2 linked regions of the Lytechinus pictus genome follow. The protein of the gene in region 2 purifies or fractionates together with the protein of the main gene of each other region. This does not show direct contact. Links are inferred from orthologs where the notes say so. Each region holds a gene or a part of one and is shown on either strand. Other genes may lie near its edges.

The links.
Region 1: the proteins of F-box/WD repeat-containing protein 11-like (region 2) and cullin-1-like purify together in Drosophila melanogaster (affinity purification with western blotting; 4 studies listed by BioGRID, with this or other methods). This does not show direct contact. The link is inferred for Lytechinus pictus from reciprocal best matches to the Drosophila melanogaster genes slmb and Cul1.

What each region holds. Positions count from the first base shown.
Region 1 is NC_087247.1:61,242,675-61,249,880, reverse strand, and holds the start of cullin-1-like, read right to left. Parts: upstream 3,234-7,206; 5' UTR 3,064-3,233; intron 2,963-3,063; exon of another isoform or gene 2,747-2,962; intron 1-2,746. UniProt on the Drosophila melanogaster protein: Core component of multiple SCF (SKP1-CUL1-F-box protein) E3 ubiquitin-protein ligase complexes which mediate the ubiquitination of proteins involved in cell cycle progression, signal transduction and transcription.
Region 2 is NC_087256.1:24,778,022-24,785,910, forward strand, and holds the start of F-box/WD repeat-containing protein 11-like, read left to right. Parts: upstream 1-4,877; 5' UTR 4,878-5,109; coding exon 5,110-5,154; intron 5,155-7,889.

The sequences.
Region 1 (7,206 bases), on a different chromosome or scaffold from region 2:
GCTTTTTGTGCAGTTTGATGAAAAATCTGTTTTCCATGATTAACCATTTGAAAAGCCACTTTCAAAGGGCCGTTTCCGTGAATTCGCGGAAAATCACTGTGTCCCTACATAATAGCGGGTATTATCGACAAAGATAGAAAGGTTATCGATATCGCTAAGTGGCAAAAACAAGCGATTATTGACAGGACTATCGATAAAGGCGTTATCGATAACAGCCCTAGTACAGAAGGTCCTTTTGTTCAACGGAAAGTTGTATTTGTGCTAGTCTTGTGTGAGGACCAACTTATTACGTAAAATTTGTAAATGGAAGGCAGGTTCTTATATGTTAAACCCTTGACATTAAAAAAACAGTGTAATGCAAGGTTTTATATTTTTCAATGTTCAATTAAAGAAGCTTCATTTTGTAAATTATAAATGCCTATCATGCTACACTTACAATGGATACATATATACATGCACATTACACATCTACATGTATACTGTATAATGTATTTACATGTACGTACAGTTTGATGTTTTATACCCTTGGCCATTTAAAGAATGATGGAAAGTATTAGATTTGAGGATATCAATTTATGGTTTTGTATTTTAAAACACAATTGATCACTTTTTGTAAAAAAATGAAAATTCCCCAAAATTCCCAAAACAGGCCCCGTGAATGCGTGATGATAGGTAAGGTCTAACGTTAGTTCTAAGTTAGATCTAACATTAGGGGGCCCTACATGTACATCATGTACGGTAGTGTGACCTTAATTTGCGCGTTACCCAATTTTGCGAACGGTCGAATATCTCAATATCTAATTGATATCTTAAAAAACTTATATCACCAATAGAAAGAGCGACTTAAAATTACTCAGTATGGTAATTTTGTTCAAGGTAAGGTCTCGATAAGTCTATTTGTGAAAATATTGGCAAAACATCAGCAAATTTTGTTACCTTTTGCGTCCAATCTTCTGGACAAGCATCAAGAAATCGCCAGTTTGCAAGCAGTATCTCCAAATAAGTACGGTTAGTAAAATGTGGTACCAACCGAATTTATGGCATTTTAACTTCCATCTGATATAATTATCTTACCTTTGTCTGAGCACTTGATTTCAACTCTAAGACTAAACTCTAAAGCCTTGCAAAACGATCGTGCGCAAATGAAGATCACACTTTTTCAGCCGAGCACGCACTAGTTGATCGCCATGGAATTTTAAGATCGCGATACAAGCGAAACCCTAGACCAAAAGCTTCGGTCTCTGTTATTGTTAAATTGGTTGTTCCGCTGAACTCCGTTGGCTCCACTTACCAAATACAGAGACCTAAGTTCTAACTCGATCTGTACAGGGACTCAATGGCCATATGTTAATGTATTAAGTTCGGATAAACCAAGGATGTGGGAGTTGCACGACAGCTGAAGTATATCACTGTTTTTGTCCTGAAAGTTTTAAGTTTATTTTTCAACATTTTGGTGCATTTCAGGCCAAAACAGAATAATAATCTTTGTTTGGTACAGTTCTGTTTATACATTTTTATGAAATAAAGACAAAAATCGATAAGCCCCGTCGGGGGGATTTTGCATTGTTAATCCCCTAATGGCGGCTGCACGATCGCGAGGCTTTTGTGAGGAGAAATAAAAATGTTTAAAAACTCCTAGAAACAGACGGCTGCCAGCTGTCTAGCGAAACCCTAGACAGCTGGCAGCCGTCTGTTTCGAGGAGTTTTTTTACTTTTTTTTTTTTAAATTTCTCCTCGTACACAGACGGCTCGCTAGCGTGCAGCCACCATTAGGGGACTTGCAATGCAAAATCCCCCCGTCGGGGCTCTTCAATTTTTGTCTTTAATGAATAAAAATTTTGAAAATTAACGCGACCAAAATGCAAATTAATATTCCCTCTTGGCATTAATTGCCCAAAAATGGAGAAAAATCAAGTTAAAAGGAACAAAAACAGTGACTTACCTCGGCTGTCGCGCAAATTCACTTCCCCGTTTTATCCGATCTTAAGTACATAAACATATGGCCATTGAGTCCCCTGTACAGATCGCGCTAGAACTTCGGTCTCTGTATTTGGTGAGTGAAGCCAACGGAGTTCAGCTGAACAACCAACATAACAGAGACCGAAGCTTTTGGTCTAGCGAAACCCTTGACCTACTTTATAATTCTGTCAAGCGAATTTGACTTTGGGGTCTTGCCTTCTGTTTGGTATTTATGATTTTGATTAATTTTGTGTGAACTGTGTCTGTGAGAAATTTTTGATTGAAAATCAACTTCATGATAATTTTTAAAATGTGCGCAAATTATGGTCACCCCATCATATGAATTGATGTAGATCTAACATCGAGGGATCTACATGTAGATCTAACTTTGTTAGATCTAAAAAGTTAATATTAATCTATTGTACTTATCCGATTTTGCACGACATTGTCACCGACAACACAAACACAACAGGCAACACCACTCAGATTTCAACAGACAACACCGTCCGTAGTCTGACTGTACTTCATTCTACTTGTCTTTGTCTATTTACATCACACACTCTCAGCTCAAACATTGTCAAAATAAATAAGACTTAATTATTTGTAAACAAATTTTCGGCATTACTTCTATGAGACTATGTGTTTAACTAAGATCGCATGCTCGATCTGTAATGAAAATCATAAGTCAGAAAAAAAAGACTTAGGCCTAAGTTAAAGTTAAACTGATGATATTTAAACAATTAAGACTTAACTTAATTAAAATTTAATGTCACTGACATTGACTGACCTCAGCCATTGTCAGCAGGAACGCAATTGGCAATAAACAACATGAAAAATCGACATGATCACATGTAAATGTTATCTAGATCTACACGACAGAACAATCGAATATAAATTGCTGCACTCTCTCTGTAGACGTAGTGTAGGGAGTGTAGCTGACGTCTGACTGAGCAGTCTTGTCGACTCTGTGACTGCGACTCAAGATCTGTCGCATTTGTTCATCCAGCTCAATTCAATGGAGTTCTCCAAACAACTTAATAAACCACAAATTCAATATATTTGTAATTAGAATATTTAGCATGAAAGAGGTCTATGTTAAATTACCTTAACTTTCGTCGATTGAATTATGGAACTGTGAAGAAAATGTTGTTTTTTAATGGTATAAATGTTGATAAATCACCGGTACCATTTCGGACGTCTGTTAATGTTTTTCATGCGCACCGATCGTGCACACACCGCGCGCACTGCCTGCACCGTGAATATAGCTCGCGAGTGAGCGCGCACAACAAATGATACTAGTACTAGTTTATAAATATCTATATTTCTAAAGTTATGACTGCGAGGCTTTGTGAACACTGCATAAAAAGAATTTCGGCTCAGAATTTCTATTGCATTTCATTATTCAATTTTCCTAGAATTTGAATATAGTGTTTATAGATGACAAAACATAAAAACAAGTTTAGACGTACATAAAGATAGTTTTAAATTTAATATGTTTTTGTTCCCTCCGACGAACAGCCAAGGTCCCATGGTGTAATGGTTAGCACTCTGGACTTTGAATCCAGCGATCCGAGTTCAAGTCTCGGTGGGACCTCTTTGTTTTATTTTTTTTTTTCATTCCTCTTACAAGCGTTTGTATATATTATTTGCTATAAAAAGCATCTATATATTATATTTGCGAAAAAAGTGAGGGGTCGTAATTACTTCCAGCGCACACAGGAACATCTATAAAGCCTACATAATATAGCGAAAGCAAGTCCAGGGTATAAGATTTCTCATTGACTGGTCATAACCTGTACAGTATTAAACAAAATAATGCGAGCGCAAACCGCCGGGGTTCATTTATTTATTTATTTATTTATTTTTTTTTTTTTTGGGGGGGGGTAAATGACTTGAAAATATTACAAAGGCACTTTTATTGTACGCTTGATTATACAAAATTGAAAGCGCGAGCTGAGATTAACTATCGATAAAATGACCGGGTGGGTACGTGTTTCATAAATCAATTATTCGCATTATGTACTACACTTCTTTAAATTCGGTCCGACCATTGTTAAATGGTTTGATGTGTTTTATGAAAATGCTCAATCTTGTGTTTTAATCAATGGACACCTGTCTCCCAGATTTTCAATAGAGCGAGGCTGTCGCCAAGGAGATCCATTGTCTCCATATATTTTTCTATTATGTGCTGAAATACTTGTTTCGACAATCAACGTCAATAGATGGTTTGAGGATGCCCTCTGGTAAATGTCATAAAATATTACAGTATGCAGATGACACTCTTCTGACATTAAACGGTTCAGAAAGAGAATTGAGTAGTGCTTTTGACATCTTGTAAAAATATAAAACAATATCAGGTTTGACTGTTAATATAACCAAGACACATGCATGCAATATGGATTGGAGGATACAAGAACAAGAAAGACTGTATTCTTGCCAATGGGAATTTGAATTGGGTATTTGATGAATACTTCAGATATTTAGGTATAGATTTTTGTACAGATCTTCAGAAAATGACAGTGCATAATTACAATGAAAAGTTTAAAGAGATCAAAAGTCAAATGACTTCATGGTTAAGACGTTACCTGACGGTCCTTGGAAGAGTTACGGTTGTCAAGTCATTGTTTGTGTCTAAATTGAACTATACTTAATTCTTTCTCTCCCGAATCCAAGAGAGTTATTTCTAAAAGATTCCCAATTTCATAGATTCATATGGGGAGAGAAACCAGATAAAGTAAGTAGAAATCAAATGTCTCAGAGTTATTCTGAAGGTGGAGTAAAAATGATAGACATAAATCTGCAATGCCAGTCATTGAAAATTTCTTGGATGAAAAAAATGATAAACGGTTCCATTGACGGTAATATTATTTGTCTTCTTCAGTCTTTTTTTGCATAAAACGCAAAACTTGGATCTTTATATGGGAAATAGCTATTTTTCTAGAAAGTGGCACACGAAATTAAAATCCTTTTTGGAAAGAAATGTTCTTAGCGTATAGCACACTGTTATCTATGCACTAAATTTAATATACCTTGCCAACCCTTATGGAACAATGATTTTATCAAAATAGGTAATAGCTCAATTCACAGTAGATCTCTAAATAATAGGGGTGTTCGTTTCGTTAATGATATTTTAGATGGCAATTTCCTCTCTTTGAATGACCTTCAGGAAAAATACAATGTTCAAATAAATTTTCTTTTTTACCGTGGATTATGTGATGCCATAAGAGACGGTTTTAGCAGTGGCACACACTTTAGCAAGTTCCAAGAACCTATTATCCCTGATACAATAGCACTTGTTATGAAATATAATAAAGGTTGTTCACACATCTATACGATTCTTAAAAAGAAAAGAAAAGTGGAATGTAAAAGTTTTCTTAAGTGGAAGTGTATATTCGATATGAATGACAAGCAATGGCAGTCGTATTGCTCTATTTGATTCAGTTGTACTAATACCGATGTGAATTTACGTTGGTTTCAGTTCAAAATAATGCAACGTATTTATATACAAATGAAATATTGTTTAAAATTAATTTAGCTCAACAAAAAGAATGTACTTTTTGTAATGTACACCGTAAAACAGTTACTCGTCTACTTTGTGAATGTACATGTATTAAACATATATGGGACAGGTTTGAACAATGGATATTTCTTAAAACTGGAAATAGAATATTTTTCTCTAATAAAGAAAAATTATTTGGTTTAAGAGGTTCAAGTAATTATGCATTAAATTGTTTATTGATAGTGATACGACAGATGATTTACAATTCCAGAGTAAAACATAAATTACCTGTTTTTGATAATATCAAATTTGCACTTCAGAATTATTTCAAGAATGAAAAATATATCGCAGAGTCAAATTGTAAAATGGTAAAGTTTACAAAGAAATGGTTTCAATTACGTGCCATGTTTACATGAAGTGATCTGTTCAGTTCCCTTTCCATGTATATACATATGAATATTATTGTTCATTTACTCCTTGCTTTTTCCTTAAATTGTTTACTATTATGTGAACCTGACAGTTCAATTTATGTATTTGTTGCAATTACTGTTGTACTGTATTTCGTTGTTATTAATTTGATTTGTCATTGAAAAGATATCTTGTTATGTTTTGAATAATAATAAAATCCCTGTGGAGGGGAATAAATTGAAAAAAAAAAAAAAAATCAAGTGGCGTAACTCAGTACGCCCCCCCCCCCCCAACGGCTGGCCAAAAAAAAAAAAAAAAAAAAAAAGAAACAAGGTAGAAAAGGAGAAAGAGGGAGAAAGGAAGAGAAACGTAATGGGGAAGAATAAATTAGTTGTATATTGTATTATGTGTGAAGAAATACCCCCAAAATTTTTCAAAATTCTCTTTTAATATTTTCTATTTAGATCTGTGCTTACTTTCAGCCAGAATTAATTACTAGTATCCAAAATCTATCAAAAATTCCACTTTAATACAACGCCACCACTCACAGCTGTTGTTTGTTTTGAATCTTGAATGAACGTAGTAAAATCAGCTGAGTGTGTTTACTACAGCAGTCAATGAGCATAGTAACGGAGGCAGATTGTGCTATTTTTAGAACCACAGCAATACATAGGATTTAGTACGTGGGACAAGGTTAGGTTAATGGCGTGCACGGTGATGCACGGAGCGAGTTTTCTCGATAAATTGTCACTTACCTTGTAAATGTCTTTTAGGTGAGGAGCTTGATGCTCTATTTTTCCCTTTTATGATAAAATGATGTCTTTAATGATCCTATTTTAGTCACTAGAAGTGATTATTCCCTACCGGAAATGGTACATTCTGTATTTCGTCTTTCGCGGGTGATGACGTCACAAACTTTTGGCCAATCACGTAAGCGGGCAAATCAAGTTTTTGTCAGGCGATAGGGGCCCGATGGCTAGGGGTATAAAAGGGGCAGAGGGTGAAAATTTCTTCACTTTGCATCTTTGAGAGTATTTGTCTAGAGAGAACTCCAAGCCAGTCTTCCAGTTGAAAGTACTTGTAAGCGTTTGACCTTAGCAAGAATCGTGAGTGGAATATTTCTTTAAACTTCTTAAGGTTATATAATATCCCCCCCCCCCTTTTCTATAAAAAGGAATTTCTAATTAAATTTGTGAGAACTGGAATTTCGAAGTTCTTTATAGAAATTTTAGGCTTGATGCCCGATCGATGAGATGAATATTTTTATGTCTGCCCTTAACATTGGTCTTACTCTTAGAGATATTACTTGATTGCTGATTTTATTTTGTATGTGGTACACA
Region 2 (7,889 bases):
ATTAATCTTCTTCGGTAATATATTCCCGCCGAAAACTAATACCGAAAACCATCGTTTTTATATCAGTTTTGAAACATGACCATATCAGTTTCGGAGCATGACCGTCCGGGAATGGAGTAAAGACTAAGTAGGCCTAAAGTAAAGTTCCGTTCTGACAACGATGGCGATTTTACTATGGTGTCGCTTAAGATCTTTTTTCTTTCCCGTCTTATGTTTTGATGATTTCAAATGTGTAACTCATCATTATTTTAAAAGTCATCATCATTGCGTCCTCAAGACTAGGTGGTGGCTGGCCCTGACTCACAGTGACAGCCGGCGCCATGGCCATGGCTCTCGCCCCGCCGCGCCGCGCCGCTTGCGCTTGACGTGGGCCGAGCCTTGTTTGCTTATTTAGTGGTTAAATACCACATTCCACTTCCCCTCACCTGATGATCTTTAACCTGTTTCAGTGATCTGCTTGCAAAAATCGTATGCAGTCGTCTCGATCAGCAATTCGCAAGAATGTAACGAGAGAACATCCAAGTTGGCCAAGCCAAGGTTTCTTGCCGGCCGCCGGGAAAACAGTAGTTCCGATCACCTACAAATGCGGCTTCCCACACTAGCACTAAAATCAGAGATTATTACTAGATTTGGTGTACATCATGACTGTACGAGACTTTACCCTTTCAGCACTACTGTCGCCAACGTGGGCAAAGATGGCGCTATTCCTCTTTTCTGCCAAAAACTCCATAGAGATGTAAACTAATTATATCTCTATGCAAAAACACTCGCTTTCAAGAAAATATTGAAAAAAAATCTCAACTGCTCAATCTTACTTTACTTACCCAGCTTACTGCTCAACTTTTGAGTTGTGTTTCTGAAGGTGTTTGGCCATCTCATGTTAGCATCCATATTTTTCGTTATGTATTTGCCCTATTTTAAAAATATTTTTGTTATCAACGATTCGCATAAACATATAATCAGCAAAATTTTTGAGAGGCTAGACGCTGGGCTTTATAAAGGGCGGGGAATCTGCAAAGTTACGAGCGAGAGAGGCGAGCGAGCCAAAATCATTTTTTTAAATAATTTTTACATAATATCCATTAAAAAAATCTTATTTTATCCTTTTCCTTTTCTTTCTTTATTTTTTCTTTTATTCTTGGTCGAGAAACTTTTGGGGGACCATGACCCTAGCTAAGCCCCCTCATATCTTTACATCGGTAATTCAAGGTACCTTTAAAACCATAGGCCTATATTTTATTTACAGGTAGTGCCTATACCTACATATAAATGTACAAATCTGTTCAAAACGTCCAAATATAGGCCTCCAAAATATAATTGGTAAAAATATTTATTTTTTAACAAAATAAATGCTTCACTTATTCATGCTTGAATGGAATGCCGCAAGTGAAATTATTCTGGAAATATATATTCGTGATTCCTTTAAATATTCATTGCCATTAACTGACTGACTGATAAGTATATCAAGTGATTACCTAAATACAAACCTTAATCATAATATTTCCATGTTTTAATACAAAATGTACATTTTAAATCACTTTCAATGAAAATCATAGTTTTCAATATAACATGGTTGTTTTTTATACATATTATTTATGGTGTATCAGATGCTTATAATCAAAAACTTTTTAGCTTGTAATTTTGTAAGATGATATGTTAGAATTTGAATAATATGCATTTTAATGTGAATAGAGGCATCTGATGAGGTAAACATATAAATTTTTATGAAAATAACTCGTTTTCCTACTTTCGGTGAGAGATTAAGTATATAAAATCTATATTGAAAAAAAAAATAGATGAAAAGAAAGAACAAAAAACACATGACGGCCGCACAGCGGGCACAACACCCCTTCCTTCAGACCCCCCCCCCCCCCATCCACCCACTGCCCTCACAAGTTCCTCCCTCACTACCTGAACAAGTTTCAAAATAAAGCTTAGTTACACAGCAAAAACTGTGGTGTTAACCGGTGTACTAGAGGACCACACCAGTTATTTTACACCGGTGTTAAATTGACAGTGTTAGTTTAACACCTACAAGTGTTATTACAACACCTTTGGTTGTCACATCAACACCCTTTGGTGTTATGTTCAATCCCTAGGGTGTAATTTTAACACCTCAGGGTGTGGTCCTCTATTAACACCAACTGGTGTCAGTTTTCACCTCAGTTTTTACAGTGTATAAAACATATTTTGAGGACAAAAATACTAACATAAGTTACAGCAATAATATTAAAACTTTTTTAAGCACATTAAGTTTCTCAAACGTATATGTATGGGAAAACCAAAATACCTTCTCCATTGATATATTAAAGAAAGCTTTACACACCAAACTACGAGACAGATACATTCAATCATGGAAAGTTGCTCTCTGCAATGAACAAAGCACTGAATATATACTCTACTAAACTGCAAACATAAAAAACCTTTAAACTGGAATACAAAATGGAAAATTACTGACTTATCACTAGACAAATTAAAATCACATGTAACTAAATTCCCCTAAATTCACTAAACTCAGAATAAATAATAGTAACCTTATATATGATAGGAAGATACGAGAAACTGAAGCCAGAAGAAAGAATATGTCCTCTTATATGCAAATCTGGTGTAGAGGATGAACTTCACTTCCTTGTCACCTGCTCATGTTTAAATGATCCCATCAGGCTGGAATTATACTCTAAATTACACGACATACTACCCGATTTCAAAGTTTTAACAACAAAGAGAAATTTGAAACTAAATAAATGATGTCAAACTCCGAAATAGACTTAAACGTAATAGTAGTTAAGGGAATTAGTGCAATGTTTGATAAACGTCTGGAGCTTTTAGAAAATAATAAGTAATGACTACATAATCACCCTTACCCATTCTTGTTTTCCACCTGAATAGGGATAAGAGATAAAAACTAAACCTTTAGATTTTGCTGTTAGTCCGATAAAGGCTTAGTATTATTGGTGTCATTATTAATGTTATTATTGTTACTTTTCTCTCCAAGCTTCCTACGGTACCAATGTCATTGTTGTTCCTCTTTATACATTCATCTTCAAATTTTTGTTATTTTGAATTATTATACCATTAGAGCGTCAACCAGTATTATAAACTATTTAACTACAATATTTCTGTTTATTTCCGAGTCTTAAAATTGAAAAATATTTGTCCTTTGCAACCTTTATTTTATTTTATTTAGGGATGGGGTGGGGGTCCTGCACTGCAGACTCTCACTCCTCCCACCCGTCCGGATCACCCGTGATAACTAACCCTAACTATCATCCTTTTGATAGGCTGTTTTATTAATTATATTTAATGTGATTTGAGCCTTGTATAATTTACATATTTAAAAATCGTGCAAAGAAACTTTCAAAAGAAAACATGTAAGTTTACCTATGCTATAAGAGGTAAATTATTTATTTGAATATGTATCGAATATGATTTAGGGCTCAACATGAAAATTACTCAACATTATTTTTCTGTATGTCGTATTTATATTATTTATATAGTTATATATTTGATTTGTAACTTTGTGTCTCACTGTAAAGTTTACACTTTTTTGGTACGCACTATTAAGTGTTTGTTTTTAAAATTGAGAATGATCCAATATGTGTGGATTTTGATCAATAAATTTTGAAACTTGAAATTTGATATTGATGACACGTACAATAAAATTCATTATTTCTAAGATTCAGACTTGTTGATCATGAGGGTAGGGCAGGGGGATAATCGCCCCCATGAAAAACTTTAAAAAAAGATGGTTTTGAAAGAGGCTGGTCAATGGTCAAACGTATTTGGGTTTTTTTTTCCAAAGCTTTTTTTAAGACCATATAGCCAAATGTGTTTAGGTTATGTTTTTCCTCAAGCTTTTTCCCCGGGTCTTAATTACAGTGTTAATTGTATTCCTTTGTGGTATTTTAACACTACTGAACTGCACTGGGGGCATATACCCATGCCTATTGTTAACATGTTGCAATGCATTTGAACGCCCCCCCCCCCCTCCCCGGGCGAATTCCCTGCTCAAAATTTTCAAGTCAATAAAATTTATGCTTTGTGGATGAAAATATTTTCCCGCCCCTCCCATTATAAGCAAAATCTGGATCCATTTGTGATATAAAGATAACGTATTACGATTAAAGGTGTATTGAACATTTACCTCCACCCCCCCAAAAAAAAAAATCATGCATCCATCATGCAATGCCGATCCACTATTTCCTCATAGTTCTCCGTAAAATTATTATGTATAATTTTACTGAGTAACCAAAAATTCAGTTACTTTTTTTTTCAAGGAATAACGGTCTATAACTGAATGTCTAAATAAAGAGAATAAAATTTAACGAGCAGGACTGATACAAATAATGAAGTAACTGAATTTGATTTAGATTAATATTTTGTGAAAATATATTCATGCCGTGACGTCATGAGTTTGGAATAATTATTGGTGGGCTGATGATGTAATGGATCCACTTTCCTTTTTATACATGAAATCATATTTGATTATGAATACGTGTGTGTAAAAAATGAAGTTCATTGCGAGACTGTCGATCTCCAGTGCCCCCCCCCCCCCATGAAAAAAGAGGAGTGCATGGGACAAAGCTGCATGTACGGGGGCCATGGCGGCCAACCATTAAAAAAATCATAATGTAATAAGATGGTGATTTTACTGTTTTGGGGGCGCGGGGGCTCAGATATGTTACCTGAAAAAAGTGGGGGTCCCATATGTCCCAAATCGTCTTCGCATCCACCAAAATGTATTTAGTTTTAAGGGGACGATAAAACAGAAATGAATAAAACATTTTGCTCTCTTTTAAAGAATTGTTATTATTAGTAGGCCCCTATACTTATATTATTTATTTTTTAAACTAAGGATTTTTCGGAGAGGTCGAGATATAGATTGAGCTGCGAGAGCTAAAGCATTTCGCTGGGCTCATTCTGAGTACGCTCTATCCACCGTGCATGTCTCGCACACGGCCTCATCAGTGCACTGTACTGTATACAACAGCGCAGTGCCAGTGGTATGGTATGCTGTATTTTTGTTGGATCAGCGAACTGCACAACAGTGACATGAAAAAGGCGTAGGGCTTCACACAAAAACCTGCATGAAATTTCACTTTATCAACCATGGAGACCAGTACTATCAACGAAGATAAGATACCAGAAGGAATGGTGAGCATAGATTTTAAGTTTTTTATCAAATATTCCAGCGAAAATGACAATAACCAACCGTTGACTAGCTTTGTCATGTTTGTTCATAATTGGGATTGCGTCTTGTCTGTGTCTTTCCAATGACTGTCTATGAATGATGTGTGAGCTGGTGAGTCGTCATCAGTGAGTGAGTGAGTGAGTTTTTTTTTGTGCAGTGCAGTGGTCGTGGTCAGTCCTGCCAGGCAATGGCATTGACAGTATTGTGTGTAAGTTAGTGTATTTGCTAACCTGAGAGGTGTCCGAGTTAGTCAAGAGGTGTTTTGATTGTAAAAATCAAGGCATTACCGTGAAATTGAGAACCACCGTTCACTTTGTATGATGGGGTGATCATAAATAATTTATGGCATAATTTGCGCACATTTTGAAAATTATTATTAAGTTGATTTTCAATCAGAAATTTCTCACAGTTCACAAAAAATTAATCGAAATCATAAATACCAGATGGAAGGCGAGATCCCAAAGTCAAATTTGGTTAACGGAATTAAAAGTAGGTCAAGGGTTTTGCTGGTATCGCGATCACAAAATTCCATGGCGATCGACTAGTGCGCGCTAGGCTGAAAAAATGTCACAAAAAAGTGTGACCTTAATTTGCGCACAATTATTTTGCAAAGCTTTAGAAACGAAATCAAGCAGACAAAGGTAAGATATTTACATCAGATTGAGGTTAAAATGCCATAAGTGCGGTTGGTATCACATTTTACTTACTTACTTGGAGACCTCTGCCTGCAAACTGGCGATTTCTTGATGCTTGTTGAGAAGTTCAGATTTTCTCAGAGCGGACGCAAAAGGTAGCAAAATTTGCCAATGTTTTGCCAATAATTTCACAAATTGAGACCTTCCCTTCGAGAAAATTACTGAGTGATTTTGTGTCGCTTTTTCTGTTGGTGATATTATTTTTTGAGATATTGATTTGAAATATTCAACCGTGCGAAAAATTAGGTAACGTGCGAATTAAGGTCACACCACCATACAGCTGCACTTCAGCCTATTCTGTCACACGCAAAGTTTCCTCGTCCTAGCGTTAGATCCTATTCCTACATTTCTACCTCCAAACTCCATTCATTTTGTAAAAAGTTACACAAGTGCGGGCGTAAAAAAATCGACGAGTGGTTCCCAAAACTACGATTTGGCCGAAATCATTCACCGACGCGAGGCCGATGCCAAGGCGACTCAGACGCCATCAACTGTCATGACTGTACCGACCACTGCACCGTGATCCCCCCCCAAAAAAGAGAACAACTGGCTGCACTCTGCTCTGCAGGCAGATGTTCTCGTATTTTACATGTACGTAAAAATATGACCGTAGTCAATGGCAGAAAAACAGTATGAACTCTATTTATGATGCAACGGCCACAAACTTAACGCCTGCAATACATCTATAGACAGATATTCATTAAGAAAATCTGACTCAGAATGGTTTGAATTTCAGGCTTATTATGTCACAGCCTAAAAATTTCTAATCGAAATCCCAAAATCATGTGTGTAAAATGAATGAGTGCAAAGACAGGGTGCACCAGTTTTTTTTCAATTTGAAACTTACTTGTGGTTTTTTCCAAGAAAATCATCAAATCTTTATGAGATTTTTTGCACACTTATAAAAAATATAGGGAACATTATCGACTTGAATTTTTTTGTGACATAAAAATAAATCTATATTAAATCTTAAGTTGAATTGTTAGGTGCGCAGACATACCCCCCTTATAAAGTTTCGCTTAACAATTTCCAAATTCTCCTGCGAAAGCCAAAAACACTTTGAAAATACCTTCACTCCTTACAACTTGCAGTTTAATTCATCATCTTTGAGATAGGCTGCACAGCCCTTTGAAGATTATTGCAGAAGAAGAAAGATGCAATATTAAATATTTCTATGAAACTTATATGACAAACTTGTTTCCCAATTTATCTTCAAGAATTCTGGTGAATTATTTTTTTCTGCTCTCATGGTGGTTGACTTAAAGGAGAATGAAACTTTTGGAGTAAGTTAGCTTTTGTGAAAGCAGAAAAATCAAAGAATAAGATCAACAAAAGTTTGAGTAAAATAGGACTAGCAATAGAAGAGTTATGAGCATTTGAATGTCGAGATCACTAATGCTATGGAGATCCTCCCATTGGCAATGCGACCAAGATCTATGATGTCACAGATGAACAACTCTCCCCTTTTGGATACTGAAAATATATCCCAAAACATATATTTTTGCTCATTCTAATCATATGACAAACGATTCATCAATGATATAATGTGAAACCTCTGAACTTGTCCTCTCATAAAGAGAACACCTCACCTTGTGATAGACTCTATATAAAAGTGAGAATATAAGTGAAATAAGTACTAAAGTAATGAGGGAGTTGTACGTGTGTGACATCACAGATCTTGGTCGCATTGCCAATTGGAGGATCTACATGGCAATAGTGATCTCAATATTCAAATGCTCATAACTTTCTTATTATTCATTCAATCTTCCTCAAACTTTCAACAATATGTTTCTTTGATTTTTCTCTTTGATATGGATTCAGCTGGTTTCAAGGGTTTCATTCTCCTTTAAGCAAAAGGAGACCAACATTATCACCAATAGAGGGCGCACAATTTTTATTTATACACTGTTTACAAACTAACCTGTACTGCTGGTTTTGTTCAAGGCATGTAGGGGGTTTTATAATATTTTGTAATTTTTTTTGCCGCCAAATTTTTTGTCAGA